Nothobranchius furzeri: one gene and its partners. Each later gene encodes a partner of the first gene's protein in a complex. Links are inferred from orthologs where the notes say so. Each region holds a gene or a part of one and is shown in the gene's direction. Other genes may lie near its edges.

Region 1 (6,204 bases):
CATTTTACTTTTCATTATTAAGTTACACAATTTTATGCATGCGTCATTGGGATGACCTTGACTGTTTTCAAAGGTGTCTGAACTTGTGTACTGTCGTCTCTGAAATGCAAGTTTACGGCTCTGACCACTAGAGGGCGACATTGTTGTCTTTTATGAGAGAATTTTTCTGAGCACAGAGAAGGAAGTTGTCTGAGAAAGCCCAGTCCAGACACTAAAGACAAACATGTTTCCACACAATGATTCAACTAATGCTCTCACACAATGCTGATAGTAAAAGCTGCTCCTGAATCTGAAGAAACTCGTCTCACACAGTGACTTTGTATTGTTGATAGTTTCAGTAGTTTCAGTGAGACAGTGACATCCATGTTCTTGTGTCTTGTACCTAGGTGATGTTTTGATCTGCACTCTTGTAACAGAGGTTCATCTTAAGAGTTTTCTTTATTAAATAAAATTCATATTAAAATAACTCGTTTATTTATAAAATATAAATATATTAGCTAACTGATCATTGGGCAATGGCTTCATATTGTTCACACACACACACACACACACACACACACACACACACACACACACACACACACACACACACACACACACACACACACACACACACACACAAACTGCAGAAGTTTACATGTTACTGCTGCAGTCAGAGAATACACTGAAGGAAATATAAATATCAACAATAAATAAATAAACAAATAAATAAATAAATATTGGGTGACATTGGGGTGATCACCCCAAAATCTTGATAAACCACACTTTTCACGGCTGAGCCGTTTGTTTTGATGTAATATTTGTGGTGTGCACGCTGCCTTTCAAGTCGCATAAACAAACAATAAACTAACGAACAAACAAATAAATATATATATATGTCTTGGGGTGATGTTGGGGTGATAAACCCAAAATAATTAAATACCACACTTCCCGGCTTCAAGGCTGGTGTCCTGGTGCAGCCACAACAACCTGATGCTAAACACCCAGAAGACAGCGGAGGTTGTTTTGGACTTTAGGAAGCACACAGCCCCACTTCCCCCCATAACCCTGTCTGACACTCCCCAAGTTGGTGGACTCATGTCGCTTCCTGGGCTCCATCATCACCCAAGACCTCAAGTGGGAGCCCACCATCACCTCCATCATAAAAAAGGCCCAGCAGAGGATAAACTTCCTGATGCAGCTGAAGAAATTCAACCTGCCAACACAGTCGATGTGAGGTAGTTCTACACCGCAGTCATCAAGTCCATCCTCACCTCTTCTGTCACTGTGTGGTACACAGGAGCCACCACCAGGGACAAGAAGAAGCTGTGGCATGTTGCACTCTATGCTGAGGAGGTCATTGGCTGCAAACTCCCCTTCATACAGGACCTGTACTCCTCCAGGACATTGAGGCGTGCTGTTGGAAAACAGCTGACCTGTGTCACAGTGGACACAGTCTTTTTAACTCGCACCCATCTGGCAGGAGGTTCAGATCCATTCAGACCAGAACCTCTCGCCACAAGAACAAGTTCTTACCCTCTGTTGTTGGACTCATGAATGACAATCCTAGGTCCCACTCCAGTTGCTTGGTTCCAGTCACATGACCCTGTATTGTATTTGTTGCTACCTGAACTGATCAGTAACTACACTGCCTTGTATAGTAGCATTTCTCTAATTATTGTCACTTAAATAATTATTTTATCATGATATATTTTTACTTCCTATATTTGCTAATTTCTTATTTTTATCTTTCTTTTTGCACCAAGTACCGCAGCGATTTCCTAATGTTGTGGTTTCTTGCACAAATGGAAATAAAACCTTATGATTCTGATTTTTGTCTGTTTTATCTTATTTTGGTCTATTTTTTTTCTTTTGCAAATCAAAATAAAAGGCGCTATAAAAGTGCGTGTCATTTATTTATTTTTTCCAAATGCGAACTCATTCGCGATGATTTGTCCTTTTGTCTCGATGGTCCACAGATCAGTAGGTTGCGCTAATGCACGTAACGACGTCCCGTTGATTACATTAAAAATAGATAAAATCATCTAGGATGCTTTTACAGCTGATGCATTAGTATTTTTGTATTACCGTAATTTCATCTTTGGACTTCATCACCAGTAATGTATTTTGTCCAGCTTATCTGGAAAAACAGCATTGTTTTTACTATCCCGTTTGTTTTAAAAGATCTTTCAGTTATGTTCATTTTTTAACACCAGAAACATGACAATTTAAAGCGCTCCAGCGCGCGTCCCCGACACGCTAGGGCGCGGTTGTAGGTGTGGATGGTTTTATACACGAGCCACATCTACTAAGTTGTTTGTTTATTGATGAAAACCTTTTTCTACAGTCACACTAACAATAGGAAATAGCGCCCCCTTCAGGTACGGAAGTTTCATGGTGTGGATGTGCCCTGTGCCCACGTTCCGCCCCATGCTTCAAGCCGCAGCCAGGAAGATCTTCTCACACTCAGAGGAATCATGGCGGACGTACTGGACCTTCATGAGGCGGGAGGCGAAGACTTTCCTATGGATGAGGATGGTGATGGTAATATTATTACTTATGCGTTAAGCAGTAGGCGCTGCTTAATCCAGGTGTATAAATAATGTCGCGTTGATGTTTCTGTTACCACCAGATTAACAACCGCCTTGCTACGTGTTAGCAGGCCCAAGCTAACGAGATAAAGTAAGCTAGCTGTTGATTCATTCGCTCTGCGCGAGTTAGCAGCGTGGCTAGTTGGTTCAAAGTATATGGAAACCACGTCTAAGTTCGGTTTTAGTGTTTAAATGTTCATGTGTGGGTGTTTTGCTGCTAATGTAGAGAGTAAACCAACGAACGGAGTTGGCTAGCAGCTAACGGATAACAAACACACACTTAAGGTTCCTATAGTAAGTAGCTTGAACCATAAAAAGTTCAGACTTTTTGAAACTCGATTTGTTTTCTCCCATTATTAAGCTTCAATGTTAATTAGGAACGTGTTTTTTAATCAATAAGTAACATATTTTACACGACTGAATAAAGACGATGTTAAAAACAAATGCACAAACGGCATATTAAAGAGTTGTGAAGTTATTTCTTAAAATGTCTTAAAATTGAAACTACATTGAGTTTGTATCATCATCATTGAATTTGCCTTCATCGCACAGCATCATCTTCAGGCTTTAATTTTATGTTTCTGTCTGCAGACAGCATCCACAAGCTGAAAGAGAAGGCCAAGAAGAGAAAAGGACGAGGCTTTGGTTTAGGTGAGCTAACAGTTTTCAGCCATGTCCTTTTAGCCGGGATCACACAGCGTTTTTCGGTCATCACACAGGATTGCTCATGTCACACTGAGAGAACTCCAGTGGGATGACACACTGTACTGTGAAAGGTTTCGGTGAGCCAGACTGCTAAACGTCATGCACCAGCAGGACACACTACGTCTTGAGCGCATCCCCTGAAGGCATACTCAGTAAACAGACAGCTAATCAAAACAAAGCTGAAAAGAGTAAAAATAAATAAATAGCAGTAGGGCTGAAACGATTCCTCGAGTACCTCGAATAATTCGAGTACAAAAAATCCTCGAGTCAAATTCTCTGCCTCGAAGCTTCGTTTAATTCATGTTTAATTAATTCATGGCTTTGCAATCGCCCGTGGTCATGTTTCACCCGGACCGAAATAAGTGACGCACATACACACTGCACTGAATGCACACGCGAGTAGCGAACGCAACTTAACTTTCTTTTAAGCCATGGCGGACAATGTGGACCCCGGTGGAGTGTGAAAAAGACACAAAATGTCAAAAGTGTGGGACCATTTTCACGTCGTAAGGCGGAAAACGTACTCCAGTGTAAATACTGTAAAATGGATTTAGCCTACCACAACACCACATCCTCCATGCTGCAGCACCTGACCAGGAAACATCCACATGTAAATGTCACTTCTGCAAGCGGACTCGGAGCCTCTACAAGATAATGCATTTTAGCCTGTATTTCTATATATTCTGCGGACACTGTGGGACTTTTTCATTTGTAGCACTCAGTTTCAGCTCACACCGTACGTCTGGTAGCAACACGTCGGACTTAAAATGTGCTAAAAATAGCAGTTTTTACAACACCTTGGACTTTTTACTGTGTTGTTATTGATGTCCGTTGTCCCTCAGGATTGCTGCAGGAGGACAGGTATTTATGAGTGGCGGAGGAAAACGAAAGAAAGTAAATAAATGTTTTCTGATCAGTATAATTTGACATAACCACGGCAAACATGCTTTCGACAATCCTTGTTAGTGTGAGACAAAAAAAAGTGTAGAAATTAAAACGAACGTGTGTTAATAGGGAAAAAGCTGGCGAGACATGTTTGCGCATGCACCGTGAGCGGTTCTGGTGCTGTTTGGGTCGCAGCCGCTCGCATTTGTTTACTGTGAAGTAAAGTTGAAGTGCTGAAGTTTTGAAAACTAATTTTGAATAAAACTTGAAGAATAACTGGCAATTGCTTTCTCATTTCAAGAGGTCTTTCATATTTTATAACATGCTATTTGATGTAATGCTTTAAAAACGCAAAAGAGTAATTAATTAGAGTACTCGATTAATCAATAAAAGATTCGATAGAGTACTCTGTTACAAAAATATTCGATAGCTGCAGTTCTAAATAGCACCACCATTAAGACTTGTTTTTAGTCAGCTCATGGCCCATCTAATCTTCCTCAAAGAGGAAGGCTCATTTTTGAAATCATCGCTTTGTCCTCACACTCCAGCTCTGGGTCTCCTTTAATCTTCCAGCTAAACAGCTGATCTGTCTGCTGGACATACGTCCCTCTCACCCTCCTTATACATAAAAAACCCACTAAACTACAGAGAAGTAACAAACTGAGATCGCTCCAATATCTAAAGTTTTCCCATGAATTCTGTCTCACTGTTCATTCCTCAGCTCTGCCCTGTGACACCCCACTGTCACCCACATCCTTCTGTCCCTCAGCAACAAAACGCTACTGAACCATTCCTATTAGTTGAACATGTGAGATTTCCACCAACAGCAAAGGGATCTCATGTTTTTGTGGTTTATTTTTTATGTTTGTGAGCACATCATCTCTCACAGACCACAGAATAACAGTTTTCACAATTCAGCTGATTGTCTAAAAAAGGTAGTTTAATTATTTTCAGTGTAACTTAACTTTGGCTATTAATAAAAATAAAAACTGGTGTGTAGTTGAGGGCTGCACAATTATGGCAAAAATAATTATCATGATTATTTTGACTGAAAATGAAATAGATTATTCATGACTATCATTAACATAGATTTTAGTTGTTATTTATTCAGTCATAAAATTGCACAGGGCGCAATCAGGAAAAGAGAAATAAATGAAAAAAGACAGAAACAAGATAATCACACACACACACAATCCCCGATCCCTCAGGTAAAAGAGCCAACACACCTACTTATAGTTTATAACCAAAATTGTGTAGTCCTACCCAATACAGACCTAATTTGATGTAAAAACTACTGCAAAGACTGACAAGGGCTATACAGTGCAAACATCTGTAATATAAAAATAAATGGAAACATATAAACATCTGTTGTGGAGAAGATCTACAACCTAATAATTATTTAGTCTTGTCAGCAGAGGTGTGTGTGTGCGTGCGTGCGTGTGTGTGTGTGTGTGTGTGTGTGTGTGTGTCTGTGTACAGCAGCAATTCAATTCAAGTTTTTTTTATATAGCGCCAAATCACGACAAGAGTCGTCTCAAGGCACTTCACATAATAAACATTCCAATACAGGTCAGTTCATTAAGCCAGTCAGAAAACAGTTTCCTATATAAGGAACCAAGCAAATTGGATCGAGTCACTGACTAGTGTCAGTGACTTTACAGCAATCCTCATACTAAGCAAGCATGCAGTGACAGTGAAGAGGAAAACTCCCTTTTAACAGGAAGAAACCTCCAGAGGATCCTGGCTCAGTATAAGCAGCCATCCGCCATGACTCACTGGGGATCGAGAAGACAGAGCAGGCACACACACACACACACCAAGTAGTGTTTCTATGGCTGCATTGTGATTTCTTAGTAAATACTCTATTTGGTGAGAGATAAGCTTTATTGTATTTATCCTAGTGAATCTATAATTACACGGATAAACTAGTAGTAGCACATTCAATGTCAAGGGAAGTAAAGTGTTATCAGGAGAGATAATGATTAAGTGGTTAGCAACAGTGTTCAAGACGATGGCCCCCTCCATGAGGCCACCACAGCTCAGC
Region 2 (6,092 bases), on another chromosome or scaffold:
AATAGTGAACGGAACGACCGTGGACCACAGGAGTACGTGGACAAGAACCCCAACCCTAACCTACATTGTAAGTCATAATAAATATGTTTTATTAAATGTCACATTGAAGGTGTTCAGATCAAAAATGTGTTTTTGATCATTGTTATTATTCGCTCTGCAGCCTTCACACCAGTGGACCTGAGTGATCTCAAAAGGCGTGTTGCCTTTTTGGACTCCAAGAAATCCTAGTGCTTCCTGTGATGTTCTCATTGCTTTTTTCCATCCATTATCCTGAAGAACTTTTCATTTCTCAGCCCTCTGACAGCCAACGCTGTTGGCTCATGTAACAGAAACAAGTCTCATTTCTATACTATGGACCATAGAAACTCATGTCTTTTTTTTGTTTGGTTTTACCCTCGACGACCGACAAAGAAGAAAAGCAAACACACTTGAATTTCCAGGGGCACAAACCTTCCCCTCCCGCTCAGTTTTTCATGTTTTCCCTTACAAATTCTGAATATTTACCGCCCTAATGTGGATGGGTCCGATTCAAGTGTGCATCAAAATTCGCAGACATCTGATGCTGAGGCTCAAACTAAAGCCCGACGGGACACAAAAGTCTTAAATATAGTAGTACCTGCTGCTTAAATAACTTTTGGAGGCAATTGTAAAAGAGCTGACTTGTGTTTTGGGTTCAGAAAGTAGATCGATAAATCGATAAACGCTAGAAGTAACTGAACATCGGACACGCTTTATGGGAAGCTTTTGAAAGCCAAAATACTAAATAGAAGGCCAACATTTTTATTAAACAATTTGTTGCCCGTTGTGGACTTTATTATCTAGAATGCAAGGATGCAGTCCTTGGTTGACCCTTCTCCTCTAAGCCTTTACACAAAATATTGAATAAAAGACTTTTACAGTACGTTTGCTTCTGTGGATTCAGATTCATGATTTTTGTTGTTTTGGGGTTTTTTGGGGTGGAGGGGTCAGACTTCAGCTAACATGTTTTATTGATACTGAGTAAATTCTAAAGGCATTTTATTTTTTATTTATTTCAATTATTAGAGGGGGCTATCCAAAATACGTGGAGAAGGTTCTGTCCTCTCCCTTTTAAATCACACTAACTGATAAACTATGTTATTTGGAAAGCTAGGTTGAATGTTTCTAGCCGGACCTGTAAAAGTAAGACATGTCTGACAATGTCAAGTAGGCTCAATGATCTCAAAAGCAAATGGTTGATTGCAGTTATTACAAATAGGCATGCAGTGCCAGGTTTTGGCTGCTTTTTCCCTTGAAAGATCAAATAATTGTTTATCTGAAGTGTTTTGCAAAATTTTCATATTTTAAAATTTTCTTGAGCCAGTGTGTGCTAAAACAACCCTGTACAGGGTTAATGAAATGTCACTCAGACCCCGACCACCCTCTATGGCCAGAATGTCGCACTTGCAACTTCAGAGTTGGACTTGTGGAGCTGACATGCCTGGTGCTGCAGTCTGCTTCCTGCATGTTTTAGATCATAAACACTGCTGGTTTGGTCAATTTAGTGATGAGCTGCTCCTGTAGAAATTAAGGAAGGATGGGGAGACATTATTATGGATTAAGGTGTTTAAAAAGGTGAATGCACAGTTTCACTTTTGGTTTTACTAACAGAACACTAGGGGCTGCTAAAAGCAACCCAAAACTGGTTAGTTGTGCAAAAAAAAAAAAAAAAAAAAGCAAAAGTTTAGAAATCTAAGGGGTCAGTAGCCATCACCAGTTCTGTGTAACTGCTTAAAGAGCAAGTCACCCCCTACCAGAGTATTACTCCGCTCCCACTTCCTGTTTGAAAAATGCAACAAATTCTGTTGCCTAGCAGACCAAGAGGGCGGGCCCGCTAACAAATACACACACACACAACGACATTGTGACATCATATGCTACCAGCTAACGTTCTAGGGTACCCCTTTGCCAATAACGATGGCAGATTTAAATTCAAATGCAGTGCAGAGTTTTTACCTGACAACGGCACAACACTCACAGTTTTAGGCAGAAAATTTAAATTTTAACTTAAATGCACAAAAGTGCAAAACTACACGTGTCTGCAGCACGGTTAGATACGCATTTATATAGTTTATCAGAAAAAAGTTGATCTGGGAGTGTCTTGCTCTTTAAACACTTAACTATATTATTTTAAAATCCTTGACTTTGTGAAAGTTTCTTTTAAGAATTGATGATTGATGTGGTTTAGTTTTTCCCGGTTATTTCTTCAGTTTACAGTTTTAGTTTCGATCAAATGTTATATGTCATATTTGTCAAAAAAATATTTATTTATTTGTTCTGTATTTTACCACATCTGTGTAGAACTTTTGCACAATTCGCACATTTTCCTGTCAAGGTTTCTTTTAGATACATGCTCCGCCCGGTTCCGCCTCATCGTCGACAGTAGAGGGGATCACGTTCACGTACTCACGTCAGGCTTACGTAGAGAACGTCGTGTTCTACTACTTGTGTTTAGCAGCTGCTACAAGAATCAGACACCGTTGAGCCTTGAAAGGGACAGGGAGAGGGACCGACCGTGTCTAGGGTGTAACATTCTTAATTTGTTCAAAGTTTAGCGTTATTGGGGCAGCAAAATGACCGATAAGATGGATATGTCTTTAGACGACATTATCAAACAGAGCAGGCAGCAGAGAGGTGGAGGCCGGGGAGGAAGAGGCCGTGGCCGCGGAGGCACAGGCAGCGGCCGGGGTGGAGGCGCTGGGCGACTCGGAGGCGGCGGCGGAGGCTTTGGAGGCCGAGGCGGTGGATCCGGCCCCATGAGGAATCGACAGAACCTGAGTCGCGCTAGAGGCAGACCTACGCCTTACAGCAGGGTATGAGAATGTTAGAGGAATAAGCAGAGAAATGTTTTCATATTGTGTCCCTTCTCCCGCAACCCAAATGTGTAACGCACGTCGAGCTTCAACAGCCTACGGAAGGAGTGGAGGCCCTCAGCGCCATTTTGAATCCAGCCCCGCATTGTGAAGCTAGTCGTCAGTGAGTGCTCAGTGAGAGGTATCCTGGCCACGGTGGTGAAAGAAACCCACTTCGTCAAGAGTATCACTCGAAAGTGTGTTTTCACTGCTTGTCGGAGCGGGATATGTGCTCAAGTTCCCGCCAGCGCAGCGACCAGGCGGCCTTTTGTTCGGGGAGTGGGTTCTCAAGCCCTCTGGTGGCTTTTTCTACCAGTTTGCCTGTTACTTGTGGATGGAAAAGCGGACTTTTACTCCTCTGTTAGTGCCCAAACAAAACCGGTTCTTCGTCTTTTAAAGTGTGATCGAGTTGGTAGCGAAGCCAAACAAAGCCCCAGTCAAAATGGCGTGGTTTCAAAATGGACGCTCACGCAGAGGGGAGATCTGGCCATTTTCACTCCTCATCCAGCACACGGACTCTTCCCCTACTGAGAACTGTTCTGAGGTCCAGGACACAAAGTACCAGCGCTGGAGACGCCGCTGCATCGAACAGGAGTCCCCGAGTGTCCCGAGGAGCTGGCTTTTCTGGAGGGAGGCGCAGATGGCGAGAACAATGGGCATCTCTGGTAGCTAGTCTGAGGAGTTTTACAGGTTTAGCATCAAGTCTGTGGGTTTGGGTTTAAGAAATATCTGTGATGGTAATACTTAGGTTTCTGGAAAGGCTCGTTAGTCTATTCTAGGGTTTATTTCACTAGAAACCCAGAACAGGACTGTTGAGTTTTGTTTTTATGGTTTTGTTTTTAATCCATTTACTACATCAAACTTGGATCTAAAGAATACATTTTTATTTTAAGTGGGCTTTAATGGGACCATTTTTCTTTAGACAGTTGATTAGAGTGATTGAAACAAGTGGCTCCCAGATCTTTTAACTTCTGATTTACAAGATCTGTGATTAAAAACCTTCATTATTCATGACGGACACGTACAAATAGCCAATAAGACAATTACATTAGGACAGGAAGATGACTCCATCCACTTTCACCAAGACTAAACGCTTGTCAGTTGGTCTGTTTAGATGTTTTCTCTTCATATATGTCAATTATTTTTAAATTTGATAATCTCAACATTGGTGTCCTGTCCTAACTTTGGGAACCAGTGAGTTTGAACTAGGGATGCACCGATACGATACTGGTATCGGCACCGATACCAATACCAGTATCGGTGAAAGTTAACCAATACCAGGAACCGATACCAATGCAGTTGCTTGAAAATGGCTTCACTGTAACTTGTCATTTCTGTTCACCTAATATTTTAGTTTTGTGATGATTTCCATTCATATATTTTACTTTTTATCTACCTCACAGTCTTTTCCTGTTGAAAGCAGAGAAGAAAGTAAAATCTGCATTCCAAATCATTGCATTTTTTTTTTTTTTGTGTGGTAGAAGTATCTGTATTGGTATCGGCGAGTACTAAGATCGGTTTGGAAAAAAGTGGTATCGTTGCATCCCTAGTTTGAGCATGTTTTTACTAACTTAAATCAGTATGGACTTTATTGTGATGTTTGTACACATTCCGATTTAAGATGGCCCAACATTGGTGTGTTAACGTTTAAAAAAGTTCAAAATTTGAATCGAAGCGAGACTACTACAAATCCCCTTGCTTTTGAGTATTTGTGTGCACGTCCCTTTGAGCTGATGCACTTGCTCGTTGTGACGGGGTGGGCAGGGAATACTGGGGACCCCCCCCCCTCTAAAGGGAGCTGAGCACCATGTTGGAAGTGGAGCCCCCTGCTTGCCCCAACAGCCAGCCGTGTGGACTCAGTGATGGGCAGAGGCAAGGGGATCCTGAAGTCAGCAGGTGCGTTCTCTTTCATCTGTTGCAGCCTAAACAGCTCCCAGACAAGTGGCAGCACGACATGTTCGACAACGGCTTCAGTGGCTTCAATGGTGCTGCTGGGGGTGGCGGGGGAGCTGGTGTGGAAACTGGAGGGAAGCTCCTCGTCTCCAATCTCGACTTCGGTGTTTCCGATGCAGACATTCAGGTACTCCAAAATCCGCGCTTCACTGGTTGGTTGTGTTTTATGGCTTGTTGCTGTCTTAGACTAATCTTGGATGTACTTTTTCAAGGAACTTTTTGCGGAATTCGGAACTCTGAAGAAAGCTGCAGTTCATTACGACCGGTCGGGAAGAAGCTTAGGAACAGCAGATGTCCACTTTGAAAGGAGAGCTGACGCTCTAAAGGCCATGAAACAGTACAACGGCATCCCACTGGATGGTACGCTTCAGACCTTGTTTACATTTTTCTGGTTTGACATGACTAAATAATTCAAACTTTCTTGAGTGTTCAACCCCCTTTGAGCTGATTTATAGTGGATCACTTCCTCTCCTCAGGGCGACCTATGAACATACAACTTGTCACGTCACAGATTGACACACAGAGACGGCCGATGCAGGGGTAAGTTAAATGTTTATCTGATTAAAGCATTAAAGATTGGGTTGTGGTGTTAAATTATTTTTACTGTCTCAGGCTGGGCAGAGGGGGTGGCCGTACGAACGTGGTTGTGCGAGGGTTTGGGGGCATGCAGAGAGGTCGTGGGGGCCGTGGTGCTGGCGGTTTTCGAGGAAGAGGGCGAGGCGGCCGTGGAGCTGGTGGTGGAGCAAAGCAGCAGCTGTCAGCAGAGGAACTCGATGCCCAGTTAGATGCCTACAATGCCAGGGTGCGTTGATCTGACAACACAGGCTCTCTTGTTGGTTAATGTCACTAAATGGCAGTCTAATTGACTTTTTCTTTGTTTTCCTAGATGGACACCAGCTAAGAGACAAAGTGCTTCCTACTCCTCACCCCTTCCTTTCTGTGCAGAGCAGCGTGGTTGTTACACACGTGCAGAATATTTTACACTTGGTCGTCTTCTGGTGTGATTTGATGTTGTTCAGACCTTATTTTAAGTACTCCAAAGTGTTTTTTACCTGTTTTTTTTTTTTTTTTTTTTTTTTTTTTTCTCGATGAAAATGGTTTTTGACTGTAGGTTGAACTGGGTTTTGCCAGTTTCCCTCTGCCCTGTAGTAAATGAAACTTGTAATAAAAGCCTGCAGTGGGTATCGACCGATACTTGTATTTCTCAAATGTTTGTGTTTTTGTTTTGTCTGGTTTATCAAGGGCATTCTCATTACTGCCAAAAAATTG
Region 3 (6,182 bases), on another chromosome or scaffold:
ACGGTCGTAGGACTTACAGACTCTGTAACATGTGAATAAACTAATTCTTACATTCAGCATCTTGAAGAGAATTTCTCAGTAAATTTCAGAGGGATGATTTATGTTATGAATGCTGACTGAGAGATGCCACTTTAATGATGATGAACTCATAAAGTTTTACTTTTTAAACCTGTTTGATGATGAGATGTATTCATTACAAGTTTTGTCAGAACCAAACTGTTGAAGTTCTGTTTATTTATTCTGCTGGAGTCAGATAAAGCCAACCAACTGATTGGTTATTTAGCAATGTTTAATTTAGTGATGTTTGATTTCTGTTTTGAGAGATGAGAGTCTGTGCAAAACAATAAAATAAATCATGTTTAGTTTTAAAAGTCTGAATCTGAAATGAGTCAACCACAATGAGATCAATTGACGATGAAATGGGTCAAGGTCAGCTGGATTTTCTGGGGTCTGACTCTTCTTTGACCCGTGAAACATATGGTAAATGGCCTGCTCTTGCATAGCACCTATCTAAGCCAGAGGACGCCAAAGCACACGCATACACATTCACACAGATTGAGATAAATAGCCACAGCTATTCTGGGGTTCGCTGAAAGAATTGAGGTTACGACCTGATAGGTGCCTACGGTCCCTCAGACTATCCAGGAGGCAAGGTAGGTGAAGCATATTGCCCAAATGGCCTGTTTTTGTATAATGCCTCGGTTCAACAACCCTCCAAGGCGCTTCACAACATAATCAGTCATGCCCCAATTCACACACTCATTCACACACACATTTACACACACATTTACATGCTGGTGGGGATGAGCTACAATGTAGCCACAGCTGCCTTGGAGCATTATCCCTTGTACTGCTTCGTTTTCACACGGAACAAGACCTCCCACACACATGCGCGTGCACCTGGCGCGCACACACACAGTCTGATGCGCAAAATACGGAATGCAGAAAATTAGCAAGGTGACAGATTGATACAGAATGTCATGCGTAAGTGACAATGTAAGTGTCCTGTCACTGTGACCCGATTGATCATGCGCCCTGGCTACTTGTACAAGGAAGATCTCTGTTTGGCTGACTGGTTAGCACGCATGACTTTCATCCGGGAGTCTGGGGATTGAATCCTGATCGGATCATTTTTTTAATATCCGCCACAGATCTCTCTGAAGAACTCAGCATTGACGGCTTCAGCAACGCTGTGCCACTGAGTGAATTTTCTCTTGTTTTACAAAAGCACTTCCTTTCATTTCTCCACCTCACCCACAGGTACCTGAATTTCTGCTTGTGAAAGAGCGCTTCCTTGATCTGCAGTCGTGATCGAAATGCTGCAACAGCTGGCTTATGTATATGCATAAGATTCACAAGGCACTTTGCATTGACTATTTATGGCAGTAAGTGGGCGTGGTGAGGGCGGGATGTGACTAAAATGCAGCTGAGAAACATTCTCATTATTCTCCAATTTATGAAGCGGAGATTGCGTGTAGCTGTGCGTACTCCATGTTTGATAGATCATAAACCTACTTGGCGTAAGTACATTTTTTTTTTGCTGAGCTTACGGTTTTAGTAAGGATTCTACGCAACGTTTGATAAATGAGACCCCTGGCCTTTTCTTCACCCTCTCTCTGTGCATAATTAAACAGAGGAAGAGTCTGGCAGGCCAGGCCAAGGGGCTTCTACCAGAAGTGAGCAAATCCTCATTGACTCCCATGTTAAAAATGCCATTTTCACAGCAGAAAAAAAAAACATGTTTACAGCCTGGTTAAAAAAATCACTTTAGGTTTAATAGATCTAGTTTACATTCATGACAACTCTGAGGGGGTGATTTTTTGTCACTCTTCTGTTTAAAGTGTAATTTAATGCTTAAAATTCTGAATAATTAATGAGCATCAGAGCCACGTGACTTCAGAGCACATGTTAATTGACAGTTCTGCATTCCTGACATTGCATAAAAGAGCCCCTTCTAGCCTGTAGTTTTATACATATTTTTAGCATACTTACCATAAAGACGACCCCCCCCCCCCCCCCCCCCCCACACACACACACACACACACACGCCACTATTTCAGTTTTTCAACTTACTTCCGATCTTTGGACGTTCTCTAGTTGGCATCTTCTTAGAAAATGAGGGCAACAATTTGATTCCCAGCAGTTTTTTGTAGGTTACATTGTTGATTTAACGTGCAGGTGTTCCAGATTATTCATACTTTTTTGTAACGGCTAATATGTGTAAAAATTGCTTTAGTTTATTCACGTACACGTTCAAATTAAAATAGTTATTACATCGTTGTTGTACTAATCATTTCCAGAGGGCGGCAGTAGACATCAAAGAGCTGGGAGAATTTGCTCTCCAAAAGAACACCATTACCCATAATGCGTTGCTTTTTCCGTTACTAACCATTCCAGTCCTAAGATGGCGGACCGGCGGCGAAGGAGGAGGCGCGCGTCTCAGGACAGCGAGGACGACGAGTCCGGTTCTGGTTCGGACAGCGGAAGGTCGGGTTCTCCCGTGACAAAGGCTCGAGGTCGAGATCCCGAACCAGTGGAGGTGACAGAGAGCCGGACCGAGGCGAAGAGCGACGTGGAGTCCGAGTGTGTGAGTAGCTACTCAGGCTAACTCCAGCAGCTAACGTTGGTCCGTCCATCACAAAGCTTGGAATTCGGGCTAAAAGTTCTGACTTATTCCGCTTCCAGAAAAACCTTAAGGCTCTCTAGAGGTACCATTAGGTTCGACGTGACTGTGGGTGATTAACTAGTTCATCAGTAAGGAGATGGGTTTTGTCGTTCATTCGTAGTTCGATGATCTGAGACGAAAAGGTGGCAGTTGAACCACATTTACTCGGGAACAAAATGTGACATAACACCGGCTCAGTCCCAACAGTCTCTCAGAACCGTTACTGGAGAATAGAGGATGGTTACCTGAGGTCCAAGTGGATTCTTCTGCCGAACCAAGAGCTAAAAGTCACCCTGATATTCGCCTGAGTCTGCGGCTCCACGCTGGACTTCAGACCCGTGGTGGTTCCATTACATCTAAAGACCCTGTTAGTTCTGATTAATCACAGATTAGCCCCAGTTGCACTAAGGGGCGTTACGACATAGATAAAATCTCGTAATCACAAATCAGAATACTCTGATTCAGAAGATGCGCGAGGCTGGATTCCCATGACTGAGTAGCTTCACCCAGGCAGTCATTGACCCTCACCCATCAGGGGACTGAGGGCTTGACATGTCTCAAGGCCTCAGTGTCCACTACATTTTATGTCATTGGGGTACCACCCTTTAGCTACAGGCCTTACTTGTTCATCTGCATTACACTTGGTTACATTAAGATAAAATGTGTCAAATGAATTATTTAGGGGTTGATTTCTAAATAATTGTTCGTGAGGACATTATCACTTCAAAATGTATTGGGGATAAACATGTTTTGATACCCAGGTCTCAACTAAAGAAGATTTTTACCATCAAGTAAAACGTGCTAACGAGAACACTTCTCGCTCTTTGTTAAATGAACTAGTGTCCTGATTAAAAAATATTTTCCATTATTGTCATCTGTGTTTGTATTTGAGCCAACAGTAATAAGGAGCCAAAGTCTCCTACTTGTTCGTTTGGTCCATGGGTCCCTGGAACAAATAAAAAAAGAATGCAAGTGAACGGGGCTTTAAAAGCTATGTTCTAATCTGCTTTGCAGTAAGCCCTGAATAACTTGTATGTTGTACTTGGAGTTAATTAAAAATGATTTGAGTTTCTTTCAACTGTCAGGTAATTTAAGATTTATTAGCTTGTTAAAATTCATAATTAAAATGATTACAAGTCAGACATCACATATGTCACTGTAAAATTATGAGGAACCTAGCATCCCCTTCACCAGGAAAGAGTCTATCCTGACACCTAAAGGCAGCCAGATTCTTCACGTTGTCATTTTGATCCTGTTTGTCATTGCAGGAGAGTGAAGATGGAGCCGGAGAAGGTAAGAGCCTCTCCTGGTTATCCAGCTCCACGTTAGATTTGTTGTTGGTGATTCCTGATTTTATGACTCTGGCTCTGTTTTGTTCAGCTGTCCTCTCAGATTATGACAGTGCTGATCCGGAGGAAAACCGCTCCCATTCAGAGGTAAATCCAGCCTAACACAACTCCCAGTTTCCTTCCCTCAGACAAGAACTGAGTCTGTTTTTGACTGTAGGATTGAAAAGACGTTCAGATTGGTCAAAGATCTGGCACAACAACCTAAGGATGCCAATTCAAAGACCAAACTGAAGAAGAGATGTTTCTGAAAAATTCTTTTTCCAGGGGGTAGAGGAGGAAGAGGAGGGTTACAGTGAAGAGGAAGCTCCAGCAGCAACCAGTGAGCCCAAACCTTCAGTTGCTGTCGACCCAAAACCGGAGGAGGTGGAAGAGGAAGAGAAGGCTGAGGAGGAAGCAGAAGGACACAGTAAGGAGGAGCCCAAGGGGGAGGACAAGGAAAACCTCACAGGAGAGAGGCAGAGTGGTGATGGACAGGTGAGACTCAGGAAATCCAGATGGATCTGGTCAGCAGGTTCTGATGCATAAACAGCTTTTTAGCTCTTTGTTGTCTTTTTGTCCATGTTCATTTGGCTCAGCTGCTCTGTTCCAGAGCTAGTCTGAGCTTCATTTGACATAATGGGAAGTTTTAAGAGGTGGTTATCATTTGGTTAAATTCTGATAAATTTCTGCACAATAAATAAAAAAATGGACCTATGTAAATTTTGTGTAATTATACATATTTCTGATATTTGTACAGCTTTGAGCAGCTGATATTAACTCATTCGCTGCCAGCTGTTTCCTGACCGATAAAGCCCTTCCCTGCCAGCGGTTTTTTTTTTGTGTGCCATTTTTACTGTTTTTTTAAGAGTCACAGAGCATTGCGCACTAGGATGATGATACCTCTTACAGCAGGAAGAATCCGTGCGTTTCGAGCTTTATCTGTTCTTTCATAATCCGTTATTGAATTGTGATCTGCAGAAGCTTTTCTGGTTCGCGCCACACTTTTTTTATTTTTTATTTATTTATTTATTTGTTTTACAGCAGTGGCCCAAAAGGACCTCCTAACACATGGATTTTCTGCTTCCTGGTCACTTGATGTGTGCCGTATGCAGATGAAGATTGGCTTTAGAGCTGAGATGTTTGTTCTCGCGGTGTGGGGACTCGTTCCTATGCCCACACAGTAAAAAAATGCAAATGGCAGTGAATGAGTTAAACTTGGCCAATTCCATCTTTTCTCTAAAGAACTGGAATCTACAGAATTATAGATGGCCCGATACAGGAATCTGTCTGATACTGTGTCCATCTAGCAGGACTCAGAAAATCCACTTTAGACGGCATTACGCTAAGTGTTACCAGGAGACAACGGCTAACTAAAAAAATGAATACAGTCAAAGTGGTTTTATTAGTGCTCCTCCGTGAGAGCAGGGGTGGGGTGGTTGCACATGTTCCGCTGCTGTTTCTCACCAGTATCAGCTGATGGAGGGCTCTAGTTTCATTGCGCCATTCGTGTCAGTGGACACAGTCAGGGAGGGGGGTGGAGCATGATGCTTAGTCTGGCGGCCCGCCAAGCAAAGCGCTGGGGGAAACCCTGGTGTAAAATTGTACTATAACAAGCTCAGTGAAACGGCAAAGTCACAAACAGTGATCTGCGTTATAGTGAGGAACCACTGCATGTATATTCTCTCATTAGGTGTAAGTTTCTTACCGGGCTGGCTCTTCTGCTGCATCAACTCCGAAATGTTTTGGTCTCAGATGTTCATTTAGAGAAATTGTATTTCCGTGCCATGCTAGATCGTTTTTGCATATCTTGCAGGTCACCCGTCTTTTCACGGCATCTAGAGTAAAGTGTTCCCATACTTTAGATGTTTTTGTTCTGGTTTTTTCTTCACTTTTATGGTTTCTGTTTTTCTCCTGTACCGTTTCATATTCCTCAGTGTGAGCATGCGCGTCAGCCATGTGTGTGGTACGTCATGAAAATCAAGGGTGCCTATTGGCTGATGCTTCTTCTGCTGCTCCACTGTTAGATCAGTGACTCATTACTGCCACACACTGGCTGCAAATTTAACAGCTTGTCTTAAAAATAGAAGACTTACAATAAAACGTGATTATAAAACAACTAGTCGAAGACTAAATAAGTTGTCAACTTTTCCAATAATTGATTATAGATTAGTTGTTTCAGCTCCCCTATA
Region 4 (5,165 bases), on another chromosome or scaffold:
GAGGTCTGGATGTCCCACAGGTGTCCCTCATCATCAACTATGATCTGCCCAACAACAGAGAACTCTACATCCACAGGTATGAGACGCTAATGTGGGAGGAGCTTATCAAGGCTGGTATTGTTAACGTAGACTAAAAGGTAAAACATTTTGATGAACTGAATTGAAAATATAAAGGAGATTTTACAAAAAAAGCAAACTAACTGAAACTAACGAGCATTCACACAACTAAAGAAAAAATGTGTATTAAAATAGCGGAAAGGAGACGCCCCCTAGAGGACAGCAGGGCTGTGGCAGTGACCTGTCTATGATGCCATCAACAGGAGGGGACCCTTTAGGAAGATGCCACTTAAATTAGGGGTGCACAATATATCCGCATCAATAGGTGTCAGTCCGATAAACAAAACTGGGCCGATATTAACAACCGATATAATTTCCATCTTGTTTCCATCCATTTATCTGAGGGTGAGGGTGGTGGTGTATAAATTCAGTTCAGGTAACCCATGTGCAGCAAAGCAGTGAGGTACGGGGTGCACCGCCCTGCAGGGCCCTATAGACATGGAGCAGGACCTTAAGTTTAGCCAGGTACACAACCGAGAACCAGTGAAGCAAATCCAACACGGGAGCGATATGATCCCTCTTCCTTGTACCTGTCAAGAACCAGAGTGTCCAGTTCTGGGCCACCTGGAGCCGTGCCACCGCACCCAGGCTCAGACCAGCATCTGGTAGAAGCATCAAATTTTAAGTTCGTGACTACCTTCCTATCGTGTGAGGACAGAGAAGCAAGGTCAACCTGAAGGCTCTATTGGTGGTCAGAATCATTACCTCCGTTCTGTTCATATTCAAATGCAAATAACTGTAGGCCATCCATAACTTAACTTCCTCCTAAGAGTCTAGAGTGGAGAGACGGAGCCACCTGTCCCCAGACAGAGAGGTGGGTAGATCTGGAACCATCGCATTATGCTGACAGGGAGCCCCTCACTGGCAGCAAATAGACTGCAAAAAGAGGGGGCCCAGCATGGAGCCCTGTGGAACCCATCATCAGAGTCTCTCCCAGGCAGAGGTGGTCTTCCCTATCCAGACACCACTTAACGTCAAAGTAGGACTGCAGCCATTGAAGGGCCGGGTTAGGGTTAGTTGTTACCGGTCCAAAAATATGTTGGGACTGTGTCAAAAGCTGACGTTCTAGTAAAAGTACGACGACGGCATCGCACACATCTAGCTGAAAGACTGTAACGCAAAACCGTTAAAGGGGCGGTCTTGGTGCTGTGTCAGATGGAGCGAGTCTTGCGTGTTCCTTCTTCTCCTAAGATCCACAATCATCTTTGTTCTGTTAACATCTAAGATCAGATGCCTCACCCTTCCACAGATTCACCCACATCGTCTCTGTCCTCTGTCTCTTGTCCATGTCTGAGACACTCTGAATGACAGGACCAGGACATAGAATAGAATCGACCTAATTAATCCCACAGTGGGAGAATTCACTTGGAGAAAAGGAAGAAGAAGTAAATGATAGCAAAAGTACAGGTGAATACACGAAGGCAGTCCGCTGTTACTGTAACGTTCAGTCTCACACTCTGAGGTGCGTCAGTCAGGGTGTCAGTAATCCAGGTGTCCACCTGTGTCTTCTGACATGATAACTTAGCATGGATGGTTTTAAATGCCCTGGAGAAAACAAAGATTAGAAGCCTAGATGATCTACAGGCTTCACCCACGGTGACTCACTGAGCGTTGCTCACACTGGTGACGCCACCCACTAATGGTCCCAGCAGCAGCCCGGCTGCGTGGCGGAGGCTAATCCGGTTGTGTGTGTCAGCATTTGCATCGTGAATTTGAAGAGACAATTTGTAATGGGGTAAAAGTAGATATAGCGCCCCCCCAAGGGGCTTTACAACACAATCAGTCATTCACCCATTCACACCCTGGTGATGAGCTTCGTTGTAGCCACAGCTGCCCTGGGGCACAATGACAGAGGCGACTCTGACGTACACCGTCGCCACCGGTTCCTCTGATCACCACCAGCAGGCAAGGTGGGTCAGGTGTCTTGCCCAAGGACACAGCGACAGACTGAGGCCTAGTCCACACGTAGCCGGGTTGTTTTAAAAACGAATATCCGCCCCTCCAAAAACTTGCATCCACACCACCTCGTTTAAAAAACAGACCCTGTCCACACGTACCCGGATAAATACGTTGTTAAGGACATGCCAGACCTGTAGGCGGCAGTACTTCCCCCGTTCTTAACCTCGTCCTTCGTCTGTGGTCTTCCGCAAGGAGCAGTAATTCCTCTTGCAAAACAAACAAGCAGAAAGCGCTTGGACAATTGATGGATCGGGTAGTGACAGAGCGCAGCTCTGAAGGCATCCATGCTGTCGGCTAGTGTAAACACAGGTCGCACACGTGATGTCAGCATTTTTTTGTCGCAGAAAGTGACGTTGCGGACCTTAAAACTCCGGTTTTGTCTGTCCACACGCAGACACCCAAAACGGAGAAAACGCAGATCTTCACTTTGGCCGGAGTTTTAAAAAAGATCCGTTTTCGTGTGAAAAAACTCCGTTTTCGTGTGGACGACAGGCCAAAACGTAGATAAATATCTACGTTTTGGCAGATCCCTGGCTACGTGTGGACAGGGCCTGAGTGGGGCTTGAACCTGCAGCCTTCTGATTACGGGGCGAGCACTTGAGTCCTGTGACACCGTCACCCCATAAAAATGCATAAAATGATTGATAATATTGGTGTCTTTGTACCATATAACAGGGTATCCGCGGGTCCTTAAAAAGTCTTAAATTTGCTTTTCCAAATTTAAGGCCTTAAAAATCCTTAAAAATTACTAATAATCCTTAAATACAGTTTCCAAAGGTCTTAAATTACCAAAGACCCAATAAACAAGATTATTTTATTTCAATTTTCATGAATTTCTAGTTAGTGTTCAGCATTTTTTGTGTACGATGTTGGCGTAAGCGGAACCATACACATTCAGTTGGTTGTGAAAGGGGGCTTTTTTAGATGAGCACATTAGCTGTTTAAGCTAGTGGGAGATTGCACCATGGGGACGTGCAACTTTTATGGTAACTGGATGGCTAATCCCACGTTCGCAACGTGGTTCGCACCGGTTCCAGGCAATAGCTGGAAATTATAGCTTAAATTTAATTTTAAAAAATAGCTTAAATTTGGCTCTCTTAAACCTGCAGATACCCTGATATAACCATAGCAATTGGGTCTAAAGTACACAGGGCACAGGTCTAGCACCTTTGGGCGGTGCCATGTTTACTTCTGCTGGCTCCGGGTCCTGCGTCTGTCGATGACATCACACTAGATGATTGGCTGAACATAAGGCTTACGGAAAATCCGTTACCACGTTCAAAAACATGTAAGCAGTAAGAAACACAAACATAATAAAAAAACAAACGATGAATTATTTCTAAAATGTGTGAAAGAACAGAATCGAAAAAGAGATGCAATATTTTTGGGCCGAGAGGTATTGCCGTAGTAGTATGCCGTCGGCAGGAGCAGGACCCTGAACATGCAGAAGTAAAGCACCAGAAAACTTCTCAGCGTTCACTAGATGGAATTACCTGACGCACCATCAAGGTCTGAGGAGTCATGCCAAGCTTGCATGTTTTCTGCTCCACCGGCAGTTTATCGTAATGTGTTTTTAAACCAGCGAGTCACAACTACCCTGAAATGTATGTTTATACTGCCCCCTAGCGGCAGGAAACTACCCTGCCACTTTAAGTCATTCTGATCTCGCCCAGGATTGGTCGGTCGGGTCGTTATGGCAGAAAGGGTGTGGCCATCAACTTTGTGAAGAACGATGACATCAGGATCCTTCGAGACATCGAGCAGTACTACTCCACCCAGATTGATGAGATGCCGATGAATGGTATGAGTTACTGTTACCATAGCAACACTGGTGGCGGTCTGGTTGCTGCATTCATGTCTGTCTTTCTCTGCAGTTGCTGACCTGATCTAACTTCGATGACATCACCGTGGAGCCCGGCCTCCTGACCTTTTTATTTTAAATTGTTTGTGTTTTACCCGTTTCTGGTGACTTGACGGTATTTTGTAAATAAAGTCTTTAAAGTCAGTTTTTCCTTTCATGTTATTTCACCGTTTCCACGGAAACCGTTTAAATATGAAGTGGAGACGAGGAAGACCGTGTTCAGACAGGTTTCAGCTTTTTATTTTTCATTTGGAAGAAAAATGATCCTACGTGAAAATGAATGTAGAAAATCAGTTTGAAAACAGTTTATGATCACTGACGGAGGGAAGGACAGGCTCCGCCTCCCGTCGCCTGGGCATGCAGGGCACAACGACTGCTACAGAACACGTGACTGTACAGTTTCTTAAGAAGGTGTACTTCACCGTACTTAAGTTATTTCCAAAACTATGACGTCACACTAAGGTTGCTGATCCTGGAACAGTTGCAGGCAGCAGCCAATCAGAAGGGGCATCCTTCCTTCCTGTACAGTGAACCAATGGGAGGGTCAGAATCCAGGGTTTCCCCCAGAAAATGTTAAGCCTGGCGGATTAGCCGGGGGTGGGGGGGGGTCGTGCGCTCCGTCCTGTGGCGCTCCTCCGTGGGGGGGGGGGGGGGGGGGGGGGGGTCTGCACACGTTCCGCTGCTGTTTCTCACCAGAATCAGCTGATGGAGGGCTCTAGTTTCGTTGCGCCGTTCGTGTCAGCGGACACGGTAGGGTCGGGGAGGTGGGCGGGGCATGAGCCAGGCTTATAAAGCGCCGGGGGAAACCCTGGAATCTATTTACAGACACAAGCATGCTTCATCTGGTCGATCCAACAAGGGCACCCTATTAGGGAGGGGACGTGCTGTGTTGTGGGAGGAGCCTACAGGTCTCTCCTGATGAACCAGATCTCGTTGCGGCGCCGCGGTGCTCCTGGATGGTTGTATGACGCCACCATGTAGCGGTCATGATGTAAGTGGTCCCTGTGGTCCAGGAGGTCCCACAGCAGGCGGATCTGACGGTTCACCGTCTCCTCTGTGGTCATCCCGAAGAATGTCCTGCAGCAGGTAGCGTGAATAAGCTTGATCTAAAAAACCTGGAGAATAACAACCAGTCTAGTTTCAGACAAAGTCCTCACCTTGCAACCACCCTGAACGGCTCCCTGTAGACCACACGGACGTCCGGGTCGGAGGACTGAGGGGGATTGCT
Region 5 (6,239 bases), on another chromosome or scaffold:
CTCGGGGGCAGAAGTTGCTGAGGTAGTCAAACAACTACACAGCGGCGGAGCCCCGGGGGCGGATGAGGTTCGTCCTGGGTATCTTAAGGCTATGGATGTTGTAGGGCTGTCATGGTTGACACGTCTCTACAACATTGCGTGGTCATCGGGGGCAGTTCCTAGGGAGTGGCAGACCGGGGTGGTGGTCCCCATCTTTAAGAAGGGTGACCTGAGGGTGTGTTCCAACTATAGGGGGATCACACTCCTCAGCCTCCCTGGAAAGGTCTACTCCAAGGTACTGGAGAGGAGGGTCCGATCGATAGTTGAATCTCAGATAGAGGAGGAGCAATGTGGTTTTCGTCCTGGCCGTGGAACTGTGGACCAGCTCTATACCCTTGCAAGGGTGATGGAGGGGCCATGGGAGTTTGCCCAACCAATCCACATGTGCTTTGTGGATTTGGAGAAGGCTTATGACCGTGTCCCCAGGGGCACCCTGTGGGGGACGCTCCAGGAGTATGGGGTGGGTGGCTTTCTGTTAAGGGCCATTCAGTCCCTTTACCAGAGGAGCGTGAGTTTGGTCCGCATAGCCGGTAGTAAGTCGGACCTGTTCCCAGTGAGGGTTGGACTCCGCCAGGGCTGCCCTTTGTCACCGGTTCTGTTCATCACTTTTATGGACAGAATTTCTAGACGCAGCCGAGGTGTGGAGTGTGTCGAGTTTGGTGGCAGGAGAATCTCGTCTCTGCTTTTTGCGGATGATGTGGTCCTCCTAGCTTCATCCAGCTCTGACCTTCAGCTCTTGCTGGGTAGATTCGCAGCCGAATGTGAAGCGGCTGGGATGAGGATCAGCACCTCCAAATCTGAGACCATGGTTCTCGACCGGAAAAGGGTGGCTTGCCACCTCCGGGTCGGGGGAGAGGTCCTACCTCAAGTGGAGGAGTTTAAGTATCTCGGGGTCTTGTTCACGAGTGAGGGTAGGAGGGATCGGGAGATCGACAGGCGGATTGGTTCGGCGTCTGCAGTGATGCGGACGCTGAGCCGATCTGTCGTGGGGAAGAGGGAGCTGAGCCAGAAAGCCAGGCTCTCGATTTACCGGTCGATCTACGTCCCAATCCTCACCTATGGTCATGAGCTTTGGGTAATGACCGAAAGAACGAGATTGCGGATACAAGCGGCCGAAATGAGTTTCCTCCGTAGGGTGGCCGGGCTCAGCCTTAGAGATAGGGTGAGGAGCTCGGACATTCGGGAGGGACTCGGAGTAGAACCGCTGCTCCTCCGGATCGAAAGGAGCCAGTTGAGGTGGTTTGGGCATCTGGTCAGGATGCCTCCTGGACGCCTCCCCGGGGAGGTGTTTCGGGCATGTCCTGCCGGTAGAAGGCCCCCGAGTCGACCCAGGACACGTTGGAGAGGTTACATCTCCAATCTGGTCCGGGAACGCCTTGGGGTCCTGCCGGAGGAGCTGGTGGACAAGGCCGGGGAGAGGACGGCCTGGAGCTCCCTAGTTGGGATGCTGCCCCCGCGACCCGGACCCGGATAAGCGGAGGAAGACGACGACGACAACTTTCAATGCTCTACATGGTCAAGCTCCGCCCTATATTACTGAACTGTTAAAGCCTTATGCTCCAATCCGAGCCCTCAGGTCCACTCACCAGAACGTTCCAGATGTTCCAAAGACCAGATATAAAAGTCGAGGGGATAGCTCCTTCCAGACTGTTGCACCCCGACTCTGGAATGATCTTCCTTTATCTTTATGTAGCATTGACAGTTTAGACACTTTTAAAAAAACAGCTAAAGACCCTTTTATTTAAAGCTACTTTTACCTAAATCTTTTATTTTCTTATTTTTAACTCAAAATTAGAAATCATCTTTCATCTGTTTTATGGTATTTTATCATTTAATGACTTAACTTTTCTGTTTTAATCTTTTTTTAAGATCATTATGATTTTATGACTTTATGATTTGTTTTGTTTTGATCTATGTGAAGCACTGTGGTTTTCTGTCTTTGATGAGTGCTATATAAATAAATTTACTTACTTACTTTACTAGATGATGGATGGATGGATGGATGGATGGATGGATGGATGGATGGATGGATGGATGGATGGATGGATGGATGGATGGATGGATGGATGGATGGATGGATGGATGGATGGATGGATGGATGGATGGATGGATGGATGGATGGATAGATAGATAGATAGATAGATAGATAGATAGATAGATAGATAGATAGATAGATAGATAGATAGATAGATAGATAGATAGATAGATAGATAGATAGATAGAGTAACTTTATAAACAGATAAAGATACAATTTGGTAATACTATTAAAAGATAAATAAAATAAAAGTATCATCCATCCACTCTCTATACCTGTTAGTCCATGCAGGGTCGTGGGATAAACGTATCACAAAATACATTAATCAAATACATAAAAGTAACGAACAAGGAAAATTTGAAACACAAATAGGGAAACAATGCAATGTTTCCAATAAAAAGATGTCTAGTGTCACTAAGTGGACAGTAGACATATCTCAATCTTAACTTTACATCAGACTTAACCCTAGCTCTACAAAAAAATTTACTATAGAAAAATATTTTAGAATGGACATTAACAAAAATATAATTACCAGTAATTACCGAAAATAGTAATTACCAAAAACATTTTTTTTTAAATGTGTAATTGCTTTGTATTTAGCGCCACCTCCTGGTAAAAACTTGTAAATGCAGCTTCAGTAGTCAGAAAGGAAGTTTCGAGCGGTTAGTATCTAGCTGCTAGCTGGCTAACTCTCTGAAAAGTAAACAAGTCTGTTGAGTGAGATGAGAGCAGGCTGTGGATCTCTGTAGACGTTCAGCTATGAAAGAAGACAAAGAAAACACTCGACCGAAGGAGAAAAAAGTGGAGCTAAAGTGTGAAGATGGAGAAAAGACTGAGAAGTCAAAAGAAAAGAAAGAGGCCATGACAAAGGTAAAACTTGCTAGCTAAAGCAGCTAATGTTGCTACAGACGTCAGTTTTGGATTCGTGTAGTTCTATTAAATAAAAGCATGGTTTAACTTTTTTGTTTTGTTTTTGTTTTCAGATAAAATGTTCTACGATTGAAATTATACATTTAAAGACTGGACCAAAATTTCATTTTACAAAGCCCTGCTTAGTAATTAAGGTAGTGAACTTTTTACAATGTGTTCGTAGATTGTAATCAGACGATTACCACCAAGTCTGTCTAAAGAGGAGTTAGAGGAGCAGCTGCAGCCTCTCCCAGAGGTGGACTACATGGAGTTTTTCTCAAACGACACCAGGTGAGTTCACCTGTAAAATGACTGTTAGCATTTCCTTCATTGTGTTGGTCTAACATGGCACTTCCGGTCATTTTAGCCTGTATCCCCATCTCTTCGCGAGGGCTTACATCAGTTTCAAAAATGAAGATGATATTGTTCTCTTCAGAGATCGATTCGATGGATATGTGTTCATAGACAACAGAGGTATCAAGAACACACACCCAGTTTTCTGTGAAGTGTTCCAGAGCGTTGACCTGAGACTGTCCTTGTTTATGTTTGGCCATTCAACAGGACAGGAGTATCCAGCCATTGTGGAGTTTGCGCCGTTTCAAAAGATAGCCAAGAAAAGAAGTAAGAAGAAGGACTCGAAGTGTGGAACAATTACTGAAGGCAAGGGTTTAAACTGTCTGGTGGTTTTGATCTTCTCTGTTATAAAAAGAAATAAGCTTGAAGAAACTCCATGTTCGTCCCTAACATATCTATTTTGAGATCTATCTATAAAAATCTATAGCTCAGCATGTTTGTGTTTTTATCAGATCCTGATTATAAAAAATTTCTTGAATATTACAACGGAGACGAAGAGAAGCTGACATCTACGCCTGAGACCTTGTTGGAGGAGATCGAGGCCAGATCAAAAGAACTTGAAGGTTTGTTTATGACAGCACCGTTATCACTTGCTGTGTTTGTCTTCAAATTCCATTTTTGGTTCTTTTTTTAAACACAGATAAGGTTTTTCTTTACCTTGCTGACGTTTCGTTTACGGCTGCAAACATCTTCAGAGCTGCCGCTGATGTGGATGTGTAGGAAGTGACGCCACCATCAGCGTCAGCTCTGAAGATGTTTGCAGCCGTAAACGAAACGTCAGCAAGGTAAAGAAAAACCTTATCTGTGTTTAAAAAAGAACCAAAAATGGGACTGTTATAACTGCTTGTATGTAAACAGGAGCATTGCATTTGACAAGATTTCTTATTGTGGGTTTCTTCCCCTTTCTTTTAGCTAAAAAGACCACGCCCTTGTTGGACTACCTGAAGAATAAACAGGTAAGCATGTGGTAATCGTTTTTTGGTGTTTAGGATAAATTGGTTCAACTGCATGTTAGCAAGAATCCATCAAACTTTCTATTTTAACTTTCAGAGAATCAGGGAGGAAAAGAGAGAGGAGAGACGAAGGAGGGAGCTTGAACGCAAGCGCCTGCGTGACGAAGAGCGTCGCAAGTGGAGGGAGGAGGAGAGGAGAAAACGGAAAGAGGCTGAGAAGATGAAAAGACTTGAGAAACTGCCGGAGAAAGACAAGGACCACGTTAAGGAAGAACCAAAAATTAAGGTTCGTGCAGTGAAAAAAAAAAATGCATCTGTCAATTTCAAGTTTCTCATGATGATTGTGTCTTTATATTCAGCTCCTGAAGAAACCAGATAGAAATGATGAAGCAGAGTCTGAAAAGCCTAAAGAGAAGTCCAAGAAACCAGAGAAGCCACATAAAGAGGTCCGGTCATTCAGTGATCTGAAGAGGAGACATAACATCGAGAACAAGGAGGATCGTGAAAGAAAGTCAGTTCTTGTTCTTTTTTTCCTGGCATTTTGCACTTTTGTTTGTACATTTAACTGATTTAACTCCAGCTGTGATTTCCTTTTAGAAGAGATGAAAGTGGGAGAAAGGAATTCAGGGAGCGGGACTTTGATCGAGACAGAGAGCGGGAGGAGCGGCGGCAGAGGGAAAAGGAGCGCTTCAGACGGCAGGACGAGGAAAGACGGAGGAGGAGGGAGCAGCATGATGGAGAGAACACGTTCAGGAAGCGGGAAGAGGAGATTAAAAAAGAAAAGGCGTTGGAGAAGAAGAGGAATGAAAACATGGCAGATTCCCCTCGCGGTGAGAAAACGGAGAAGGCTGCCAAAGAGAACAAAAAGGATGAGAGCAGCAAAAGGGAGCGACTGCGGAATAAGGTACGGACTCCAGTTATTTCTCACACTTGTGCCAAATAATTTCTGAGTTTGTTTTCCTTTTGTAATATTTTATTTATATTATTTGCAACAGGACCGACCCGCCATTCAGCTTTACCAGCCAGGGGCCCGGAGCCGCCACCGTGCCACACCAGGAGCAGACAGAAGAGAATCCAACTCTGCCGACAGAAAACCAGATACTGAGAGCAAGAACGTGGCTGAGAAAGTAGACGACTGAGCAGACCTCTGCTTTTGTTCATTTGAGTTAGGTGAAGAGACAGGCCTGCGAGCAGCAGTATGGCGTCTCGGAGCCACGCGCTCCACTGATTAAGCAGGGCTCCCAGTTTCGGAGGCAGAGGTGTGATCCTCTTTGGTCTGTGTTAGGAGAAGAAACGATTCACCTTCTGAAGGAGTTTGGCTGTAGGGCACATTCAAGGAAGCCAAAGTTTTGGGGACCATGTGATGTCAAAGTGAACTTAATTCAGCATTATCGCTTTGGAGGAAAAGTGTTTTACACTCTGCAAAAAAGGTGCCTTCACGCTCGTTATCTAAATCACTCTAAAATAAATTTATAATGTTCACTATGTCAACACGTGGTTTCTTCAAGGTGATTTCTGGATTTTTCTTGTGAGATATTTAATAGTTTGAGATAAAGTACCTATGCATCATAAACTGATCTGGTCTGGGATTCTGTGGTATGCTTGTTACTATGGAAACCTGGAGGAGAATTAGCCATTTCTAAGTAGACTGCCACGTGACCGCATGTATATAAACAATCAGTGATAAACATGTGGCCTTATCCCTTTTTTATTACTAATATGTCATTAAAGGTGATACTGATAAAGAGGCTACATTTCTGACTAAAAAGTCTTTGCAAAAGTTGATTTTTCTACTTTTTTGCGTCGTATATTTGACGTTGTGTTCCCGGAGATAGCAAGCTTCGTTTTCATGCAAAGCTGCTTGTAGTTATTATTTTAATAAAAACTTCATTATAATAAACTCCTTCAATTGTAGAACAGCTTTCAGAAAACGAGGGCACACTCCAGCA

What was found.
Region 2: rbm8a (region 1) and alyref share a complex: the UniProt entries of both Homo sapiens proteins name them as parts of the ALYREF/THOC4-EJC-RNA complex. The link is inferred for Nothobranchius furzeri from reciprocal best matches to the Homo sapiens genes RBM8A and ALYREF.
Region 3: rbm8a (region 1) and casc3 share a complex: the UniProt entries of both Homo sapiens proteins name them as parts of the mRNA splicing-dependent exon junction complex. The link is inferred for Nothobranchius furzeri from reciprocal best matches to the Homo sapiens genes RBM8A and CASC3.
Region 4: rbm8a (region 1) and eif4a3 share a complex: the UniProt entries of both Homo sapiens proteins name them as parts of the ALYREF/THOC4-EJC-RNA complex. The link is inferred for Nothobranchius furzeri from reciprocal best matches to the Homo sapiens genes RBM8A and EIF4A3.
Region 5: rbm8a (region 1) and upf3b share a complex: the UniProt entries of both Homo sapiens proteins name them as parts of the mRNA splicing-dependent exon junction complex. The link is inferred for Nothobranchius furzeri from reciprocal best matches to the Homo sapiens genes RBM8A and UPF3B.

The regions. Positions count from the first base shown.
Region 1 is NC_091745.1:61,863,611-61,869,814, reverse strand, and holds the start of rbm8a (RNA-binding protein 8A), read left to right. Parts: upstream 1-2,364; 5' UTR 2,365-2,456; coding exon 2,457-2,523; intron 2,524-3,161; coding exon 3,162-3,221; intron 3,222-6,204.
Region 2 is NC_091752.1:50,606,430-50,612,521, forward strand, and holds alyref (THO complex subunit 4), read left to right. Parts: upstream 1-2,464; 5' UTR 2,465-2,591; coding exon 2,592-2,831; intron 2,832-3,095; exon of another isoform or gene 3,096-3,328; coding exon of another isoform or gene 3,329-3,535; intron 3,536-4,791; coding exon 4,792-4,950; intron 4,951-5,035; coding exon 5,036-5,183; intron 5,184-5,299; coding exon 5,300-5,363; intron 5,364-5,435; coding exon 5,436-5,625; intron 5,626-5,709; coding exon 5,710-5,724; 3' UTR 5,725-5,909; downstream 5,910-6,092. Other genes in the region: mcrip1 (mapk-regulated corepressor-interacting protein 1), read left to right, coding at 1-67, 161-228. UniProt on the Homo sapiens protein: Functions as an mRNA export adapter; component of the transcription/export (TREX) complex which is thought to couple mRNA transcription, processing and nuclear export, and specifically associates with spliced mRNA and not with unspliced pre-mRNA.
Region 3 is NC_091746.1:33,208,461-33,214,642, reverse strand, and holds the start of casc3 (protein CASC3), read left to right. Parts: upstream 1-2,361; 5' UTR 2,362-2,404; coding exon 2,405-2,587; intron 2,588-3,933; coding exon 3,934-3,958; intron 3,959-4,045; coding exon 4,046-4,101; intron 4,102-4,278; coding exon 4,279-4,488; intron 4,489-6,182. UniProt on the Homo sapiens protein: Required for pre-mRNA splicing as component of the spliceosome. Core component of the splicing-dependent multiprotein exon junction complex (EJC) deposited at splice junctions on mRNAs.
Region 4 is NC_091746.1:29,288,461-29,293,625, reverse strand, and holds the end of eif4a3 (eukaryotic initiation factor 4A-III), read left to right. Parts: coding exon 1-76; intron 77-3,749; coding exon 3,750-3,877; intron 3,878-3,950; coding exon 3,951-3,967; 3' UTR 3,968-4,081; downstream 4,082-5,165. Other genes in the region: heme-binding protein soul4, read right to left, coding at 4,840-5,014, 5,095-5,165. UniProt on the Homo sapiens protein: ATP-dependent RNA helicase. Involved in pre-mRNA splicing as component of the spliceosome. Core component of the splicing-dependent multiprotein exon junction complex (EJC) deposited at splice junctions on mRNAs.
Region 5 is NC_091741.1:85,712,387-85,718,625, forward strand, and holds upf3b (regulator of nonsense transcripts 3B), read left to right. Parts: upstream 1-2,707; 5' UTR 2,708-2,833; coding exon 2,834-2,944; intron 2,945-3,167; coding exon 3,168-3,274; intron 3,275-3,350; coding exon 3,351-3,457; intron 3,458-3,544; coding exon 3,545-3,643; intron 3,644-3,789; coding exon 3,790-3,900; intron 3,901-4,249; coding exon 4,250-4,293; intron 4,294-4,387; coding exon 4,388-4,576; intron 4,577-4,649; coding exon 4,650-4,801; intron 4,802-4,887; coding exon 4,888-5,194; intron 5,195-5,285; coding exon 5,286-5,429; 3' UTR 5,430-5,861; downstream 5,862-6,239. UniProt on the Homo sapiens protein: Involved in nonsense-mediated decay (NMD) of mRNAs containing premature stop codons by associating with the nuclear exon junction complex (EJC) and serving as link between the EJC core and NMD machinery.